Linked DNA regions of Caenorhabditis elegans. The protein of the gene in region 1 interacts with the protein of each later gene in a biochemical or structural test. Each region holds a gene or a part of one and is shown on either strand. Other genes may lie near its edges. The genes, in order: npr-43 and nlp-17.

Region 1 (5,686 bases):
TGCTGCAAAAAAGTCATTTTTCGATGATTTTTTATAACTCAAAAACATAAGTTTTGTTTGACCTTCTGAAACTCTTAAATATGAAATTAGACTTCACATAGTAAACATGGTCGCGTTTTCAGAAATATGTGCAATCTCATCGGTTGAATAGGGATTAAGCGTAGGTCTTGAAGGCTGCTAAGTATTTTGTGCCTACATACCTTTGTGTAGAAGCCTAAATTTAGAATTGAGTGCTAGTGAGATCTAATGATTAAGAAATTTGTCATAAAATCCAAAAAACTAAAATAAAAGCTACAATTTCAAGAGTTCAAAAAAAGACTTAACAGACTTTCCACCCTCGTTCGATCAAAAAGTTTCAGGCGATTTGTTTTGAGGCTTCATTAATCATACATGTAGCTGACTTGTAGTCCTGGAGATCAAGTGGGTCGCCATGGACGTTCTTTATGTGCACATTATTAAGCGTTTTGATTAAAACAAATACTTTCGGCGGTTTTCATTAGCTTGCAGAATTTTTCTTCCAGCTATTTTGGGCCAGTGTGACTTGATTGAATTTCTCCTAAAAAAAATAATGTACAAACACCACAAGAACCTTCTATTCCGGAACTATAAGTCTTTCAATATTTGATCGGCAGGTGATAATTGTCTTTCCGCATAGACTGTTACGTGTACTTTTAAAAGGTATAATTTCAAATAATTCTCGTGCTCAACTTCAGCTGCTCATTGATGTTGAACCCTACATATAAATTTCCTGGAACTTCTTTGAAGGCCTAAAAGGAATTGGAAATTTTCCAGTTGAAGGGTGAAGAACATATTAATTTTTCACAATTCGCGTGTTTCAAAACAAAATAGTAGTTGTTCTGGGTTCAGTTTTTCCAATAGAAATCTGGATTTTAGGAACACTTTCTTCTTTCTTTTCATGACAAAAACATACATATCTTGTTTTTCTTTTATCCACACCGGTTCTGGTTCTTCTATTTTTCAATCTTGTCTGGTTTACTGCGCTCATCCCGACAGAGAACATTTGATGTTATTAGTGAAGGCGTTGGGATGATACTTTCAGTAATCCTTATAATATTTTAGCTGGTTATTTAAAAAAAAGGAAGTTTTTTTTTGAGTCTGGTTTTAACGGTGTTAAATTTTTTAGAAATCGAGATTCTAGGCCTGGAAATTACGGGCTCCGCCACACACCAGGCCTTACAGATCTAAAACTTTATAAAAACACTTGTCTCATCAGCAGTTTTCCACAAGTTCGAGGCGATACGACTTTGCGCTGACTTTGCAGTTCACTTTTATTAAGAAAGTTTCATCCTTTGAATTAGTGTGATGTCACACGTATTTTTCTACGTACCCTCTACTTCTGTAGGTCAAAGGACACAAAAGTTTTCTGATTACAGTTAAGTTGGACTAACCATAAACCCAACCAATTGAAAATTGTTGTCTCAGAACCAAAAAAACATGTCTCTCTCGGATAGACCTTCAGATTCTCCGCCTGTTGATTGATTTCTTGATTTCTTCCAACTTTTCTTCCAACAAATGCACTCTAATAACTGCCCGCCCCTTTTCCAACAGTTTTCTACCTCATTTATCATTTCGTTATTCTTAATTTTATATGCATAACAGCTTCCGACGTCCTATTCATCATTTTCTTTTTCCTTCTTTTCTTCTTTTCTTCAGAACGTGACAATTGTTCTCGATATTTTCCACTCTTTTCACTTCATATATCTGTCATTATATGTATGTGAAGCGTGGAAATGGCTACGCAAACTTTCTGAAAAAAAGCAACATTTCAATGAAATTTCACTGTTGTCAGTCTTCTTCTTCTTCTGATTTTTCGGGCCATTCAATTTTTGTGCTTCAATCTCTCATTTCGCGGTCTCCCCCACCAATGTACATATCCCATGAATTTCTGAACGTTTCAACGTGATTTACCTTGTAGTACCCTTTACCTGTCCCTGAAGCCAATTTCTAACTAGACTTTTCAGGTCCAATACACAAATGAATGAAACAGATGATAATTGGACGGTGTTTACAAAACTTTATTCATGTCAATACAGAGCATCAGATGATTCTCCACAGTTTACATTATGGCTCGATGTGAGTTTATATGTAAAATTTCTTTGAATTAACACATATTTTTACTTACATGTGTATTTGTTGTGTAGATTTAAAAAAAAAAGAAAATTAGCTTGGGCCACTTTTAGTTTTTTTCAAAAACAAATTATTTGAAAAAATAATTTTGGTAAACTTTCAAAATTGCATAGGATATTTGGTGGTCGATTCCGGAAAATTCCCGGCTGCTGCCGTAGCGTAACTCGACAATAAAAAATTTGATCGCGGTAGGCAGGCAGGCAGGCTCAGACTATAGAACCACCAAACATTGGGGTATAATTAAGTGCACCTGACAATTCAATTTCTGATATTTTGAGCAATATGTCGTACTTGTTGATGTAAAATTATTTGAACTTTAGTTTCAAAATTGGTGGTTACTCTAAAATACCATAGAACTAGAAAGGTTCATTTTTCTTTGATTTTCAAACTTTGATTTTTTTTTGAAATCATTAACTTTTCGGAAATCTTTAAATTTTAAACTTTTAAATTTCATAATTCTGGTTTTGGACTAATTCTGGTTACTGGACTCTAGAATTCTCGATCGTCATCAAAACATACATTTATTTGATTCATTATTTTTAACAGTCATCATTTTTTATTTCCCTCTATCCTTAATCTCATTAGATCAGGAGATTATGATGTTGTGTTCCTCCAGCCGACTAATATTGCAAATTTTTTCTAGACTGTCTAAATTTGGAAAAGTTTTAATCCTTCTAAAGCTATAGATGTTTCTGGAAAAGAATTGACGACTTTCGGATTAGGGGAAACGCTTTTTAGGGACTTCGAACAATAAAAAACTAACCAGGGATTGATATGTGACGTCGGAAATCAGTGGTACTATACTTTTCAGAAAATGCTTGAACTAATTCAAAAAATACATTATATTTCTTCAGGGCCCCGTCACAATATCCGCTGCAATTTTCTCTGCCATTGGCACTGTCTATGCTATTGGATTCCTTCGAAATGGGCACTTGAATAGAAGAATGTCAGCAGCTTTATATACTTTGTGTCTCATGGATTTTATGCTTACGATGACTACCGTTCTTTTCCTAAGCATTGAACCTCTTAGTATTCTCCTATTTCGTACCAATATCTTCTACCAACATCAGGATATGATTCTTATTCTGTATGGAATACGGAATAGCTTTGCCATGTCATCGGTATGCAAAATTTAAAAGGAAATTTAATAATTTTTGATTTATTTTTCAGCCGATGCTAGTTTGCTACATCACATACATCCGATACAGAGTTGTCAACAATCCACTCAAATTTGCATCACATTATGGAAGATCGGTAGTGACACACATTTTGTTTTCAAATTTAAGGAATCATATTTTTTAGAGAAAATCAATATCTGCAAGCAAAATGAGCACAGCTGCTCAGCCATCTTCCACAGAGTCGGCAAAGTTCACAATTTCATTTCCAGCCGAAATGTTCTATGAATTTCACACCAGAAGCAATGCTGGAAAAAGAGGAGCAAATTTCAGAAGATTCTTCAGACCATTTCTAGTTCCAAGTATGTGAAAAGGGCAACAATTTGAAAGTTTCGGAAAAGGAATGAAAAGTGAATTATTCAAAAAGGAGAATCCCGAATTTTAGACCACTCTTCGTCATAATAACTAGTGTTGCATACTTAATTGATAGTTTAAAATACATTATTTTTGAAATAATTTCACAAAATTCACTAAAATTTCTGTTCTCTCTGAATATTGAACTTAATACTTTCAGTCCTTCTGGTAATCCTCTGCTTCGTCATTCATAGCACTTCCTACTTTGAATTCAACCTTATTACATGCTTTGATGAAGTTCATCAGACTGAATCAAAAATGCTCCAGATGACACAACTCAGAGGAGATTCTTATTGGGTACGTAACCATCTATTCACTCTATTCTATAAATCCCATTGTTTCAGTATTTTCAATTCAAAGTTGCCCTTACCATGACAACAGAGACATTGGGACCAATGCTTTTCATCTCCACGCTGTCATTGTTCACTGAATACAAAATGCATCAGAATGTCAAGGAACGGAGGAGGCTTTTTGAGAGTCAGAAGAGAAGTAGAAACACACTGGTGACGGAGGAATTGAAGGATAAAGCATCGAAGGCGTTAGCTGTGTTCATTGTTGTCAAATTTCTGATTTTGAGGTGAGTATAGGCTAGAACTTCAAACTTTTTTTGGCCACTCCAAGTTTGATCCCAAAAGTGGGAACTTGGTTCAAAAGGTGGCAAAGCTTTTGCAAGAGATGTAGAAACTGTGCGTTGTTTAGACCATACTCTATGTTTAACTCAAATATGATCCAACTATTTCCAATATTTTGTCCGAACTATTCTGTGTTGTTTAAACCTAGAAAGCATTGCCAAGAGTTGAATCAAGCCTGGGCTGAACTTGAAGTGCGGTCAAAAAACGTCATGCCAAGTGTTTACCTTGAGCAAGAAATCATCGCCAAATGCCAAGACAGTACTAATTATTTTGTTACATAACATAAAAACTTGGTAGCTCAAATTTTCAATTTTCAGATCCCTGCCAACATTGATTGATCTCTACGAGGTTCTCATTGAAAACAGTATAAACTTCGGCCCATTCATGACAAAAGTCACGCGAATCTCAGACTTCCTTGTCATTCTCAACTCGGCAACCAACACATTGGCCTATTTCGGCAAAGTTCGATTCGAAAAGTGAGTGTATCATTGAGCTCCGAGATTCTAAAAAATCCTCCGATTTTGAGGTGTTTCAGATGGCTGGAACGAAGGATTCGGTGTCGAATTGTGAAGAAGGAGGCGAAGGAGATTTTGAGCACTTCACTTACTGGATAGATTATATAGTATGCCAATATCCGACATCTACGAAGTTCTAATATATTTTGTTTCGGGGTTATTTGTGATCTTGCATTTTGTCTCTATTTATTTATGTCCGCAATATGTGCTACGGTTTTTTGTTTCAATAAATTTGTTTTTATTTTTTCAGTGTTTCAAAAAACCTTGCAAGAAACCTTGAAATTCTGATATTTTTCCAGATTCTTGAATTCAGATTTAAATATCAAAAAAAAAATTATAGCCTGGCAAACTTCTAAAAATAACAGTTTATTCTTTTTGCACTTTTAAAGCATTTCAAATATACAATGGGTAAATACTTTACTTTTATTTTAAAAAAAATTACGGATTGAAAGTGAATTGATCATTATCAGACTGACTGTCACGTAATGTACCATAGATCATGTTCATATTGAATGGAGCAGCTGCCAAGTTAAAGCTTTGCGGAGTTATTATTGGAAGAAAGTCACTGCCACCATTAGTGCTGCTCGAGCTGGAAGGTGGGGAGCATTTGGCTGAATTGTTCGATTTGTCCCGTTGGCGACGGTTTTTGAACCAATTTGAAATCTGAAAAATAAAATTGAAATTTGTTCGAGATTACTTTACCATGTACTAATTTACGCTCCGGCTTTTTCAGATCCTATTTTAGTTTGTTCTACCATAGAATCCTTGTAATCACACTAATCTTCTACTCGAAATTTGACAATAAAATGAAACAGATAATTTATGATCCTTACAATTTGACCTTGCAGATCTTATAAACAAA
Region 2 (3,151 bases), on another chromosome or scaffold:
GCAGACTTGTTTGAATGCTTTTTCGATTTTTGGAATTTCTAGATTGAGCTCTTCAATTTTTCCGTTCTTCTTTTTGATCCATTCGTACGAGTTCACGGCAACCTGGCCTCCAATTGGTTTAGTCAATATCAGAACATCTCCAGGAACTGCTTGATCTACTTTTATGATTTCTGATTCATGAGCAACTGAAGTGGCAACTCCGCCGAGCAGAAGCCAAGGACAACGGACTGTTTGGCCACCACGGATCTTTGTGCCTGCTTCGTCAGCTGCATCCTGGAATTTTTGAAGTTTTTCGTATTTGTTTTTGGCAGAAAATTTAATGCTCGAAACGTTTGAATTTAGGATTTTGTCGCCAAATACCCACGGGTTTCTGCACGGCCCGGCAAAGGGTACATCAGTGTAAACGCGCTCTACTGATAATTGCAGTTTAGCCAGGTTTGGGCGCGTTTTAAGGAAAAAAGCTTTGGTCCAAAAAATTTTGAATTTAATTTCGAACATTTTTTATATGCATCACAAAAAAACTGGACCAGTCGTTTTTGAGAAAAACGCGCCCAAACGTCCAGGTGTACGGTAGACAAATTGCGTACAGGTACCACTTCTCGGGCCGTGTTCTGGCTCGACCCCTCGGTGTATTTTGTGCAAACACCGTCACGCGCAAATGCATACACTATTTCAACGCGCTGCGTGAAAATTCCTCTTGCGATTTCAAATATTTTTTCCCGCCCTTTTGCAAAATTTTGGAGAGGGGGGTCTAGCCAGATACACGTGAATACCTAACGAGACCCAACTTTTTGGGGGTGGGATGTTTTGATCTATTTCAAATCGCGAATAATTTTTCTGCGTCTCCATAACAATCTCAACTGAAAACTACCTTGAATCCCTGAATAAACAACGGAACGACAATATCTCTCTGCTTCTCGTTCAAATCAATAGCCACTGCGAGCAGCATAAGCATATTATCACACTCGGAAACTCCCATTGCATACAAATCAGACAATACATTGGCACATGTTACACGTCCCATAATATATGGATCATCAATGAGTGGATAGAAGAAATCAGTGGTTTGTACGAGTCGAAGACCCGGATGACGGAGTGGAATTACGCAACTATCGAGACCAATGTCTGGAAGGGAATTTGAGTTTAAAAAAAAAATTATTTAAATAGAATAGAAGGCATTTCTGAATATCAGATATTATGGAAACACAAAATTCTGAGAATGCGTACTGCACAATATATTCGACGCGCAAAATATCTCGTAGCGGAAACTACATTAACTATTTAAATGACTACTGTAGCGCTTGTGTGTCGATTTACGGGCATTCATTCTAAAAATCGAGCCCGTGAATCGACACACAAGCGCTACAGTAGTTCATTTAAATAGTTACTGTAGTTTTCGCTACGAGATATTTTGTGCGTCAAATATGTTGTGCAGTACGCATTCTTGGAATTTTATGTTCCCGTAATAAATGTACATTCTGTTTTGATTTTCAAAGTTCAAAACGAAATTTGAATTTTTTCTGTTGGATGAGCTTCCTGTTTTGAGCAATTTTTCAATTAAACTCACCAACTTCATCATTATTAATGACTAAATCAGTTTTAAAAGTTTGGAGCAATTGAAGGAGCACATTCCTTGGAACTTTACACCCACAACCCTTCATTCCAGTCAACTTTGTGAGCACAAAATCTTCATCAAGTCCATTGCTCACCGGATCGAATCCCTCCAAAATTCTCTCGATTCGATTCATCTAAAATATATTTTCAAAACGATTTTCTGTGCAAAATTCCAAAAGGTGAACGATGAACGGAAAAAAAAACTTTGATGTTTCAAAAGTTTTCCTAATCTATATGTTTTTTCGCAGCCTATTATCTCAAAAACTTATTATTTATTTATTTATCTAGGTTATTACGGGAATGGATGAGGGGGTGACGTTTTTGAGTTTTTGAGTCGCACTTAATTAGAAAAGCTATATAATAACTCTAGATATAATTACTCGTCTCACTTAATAGCCTTGATAGCTCGCTATAATTGAAATATAAATAGTGAGATGAGCCATTTAAATCGACATTTCGAGACTTTTTTCTCGCGAAAAAGTCAGGCTTTTTCACAGAAAATATGTTCAGCAAGTCAATTCTCTTCTGCCTTTTGGTTTTGGTATTCAATGTTTTTGGAGCTAACTTTGAAAATGATCAGGAGTAAGTTTTACTTTTTTACGTGAAACTCGAGAATCTCTAATTTCCATTCTTTTTTTTAGTGTAATGCGTCCCCCATTCCAAGCCCTTAAACGTGGTAGTTTGTCAAACATGATGAGAATCGGAAAGCGACAAATGTCTCGACAACAGGAATACGTACAATTTCCAAATGAAGGTGTTGTGCCGTGTGAGAGCTGTAATTTGGGAACACTTATGAGAATTGGACGGAGATAAATGATAACGATTATTTGAATTTGAATTTGTTTAAATTTGCATTTCGTTTCGTTTTTCTCTCTCTTATAAACTGGTCCATTCTCTCGTTATTCATTATTTCTCAATCGTTTGATGAATGAATTCATTTGTTAAATTCTATTTTTAAGGGTGAATGATATTGCAGAATTTCTCACAGATAGCACGTGGTGCCAGGCTGCCTTGATCTACAAAAAATGCGGGAATTTTTCTTAGCCGTGCGACAACAGTTCGAAACTCTGCGTCTTGTTTCCCGCATTTTTTTTAGATCACACCGTAATGGGACACTCGGGGGAAAACGTTTTATTTAATCCCCGAAAAAAAAAATCATTTCTACAGTATTCAGAAATGTTGTTTTTTCTCATTTTTCGGGAATTTTTCCCATAAATTTCGAGCTTGATAATTGCCAAATTTCCAAAAATTTTCATTTGCCACACCACGTGGTGCCAGAGTGCCTTATTTCGCTTTGATCTACGTTGATCTACAAAAAATGCGGGAGAAGAGACGCAGAGTTCTCAACTGATTTCGCATGGTTAAGAAAGTGCTGACGTCACATTTTTTGGCAAAAAATTCCCGCATTTTTTGTAGATCAAACCGTAATGGGACAACCCGATTTTTTCGGTGGTTTCTTTTTTGAAAAATCGGAAAATTGAATTCTAAAAAGGGAATTTTTTGTTTATTTTAAAATAAAAATCTTTACCAAAAATGT

The links.
Region 2: the proteins of npr-43 (region 1) and nlp-17 interact in a test that uses a peptide from one of them, tested with the Caenorhabditis elegans proteins (one large-scale study listed by BioGRID).

The regions. Positions count from the first base shown.
Region 1 is NC_003283.11:14,375,376-14,381,061, reverse strand, and holds npr-43 (G-protein coupled receptors family 1 profile domain-containing protein), read left to right. Parts: upstream 1-1,975; 5' UTR 1,976-1,995; coding exon 1,996-2,094; intron 2,095-3,002; coding exon 3,003-3,269; intron 3,270-3,318; coding exon 3,319-3,402; intron 3,403-3,450; coding exon 3,451-3,625; intron 3,626-3,837; coding exon 3,838-3,974; intron 3,975-4,021; coding exon 4,022-4,254; intron 4,255-4,626; coding exon 4,627-4,785; intron 4,786-4,835; coding exon 4,836-4,923; 3' UTR 4,924-5,066; downstream 5,067-5,686. Other genes in the region: Homeobox protein unc-39, read right to left, coding at 5,263-5,487.
Region 2 is NC_003282.8:13,504,676-13,507,826, reverse strand, and holds nlp-17 (Neuropeptide-Like Protein), read left to right. Parts: upstream 1-2,084; 5' UTR 2,085-2,116; coding exon 2,117-2,196; intron 2,197-2,255; coding exon 2,256-2,427; 3' UTR 2,428-2,557; downstream 2,558-3,151. Other genes in the region: seld-1 (putative selenide, water dikinase), read right to left, coding at 1-273, 872-1,125, 1,568-1,748.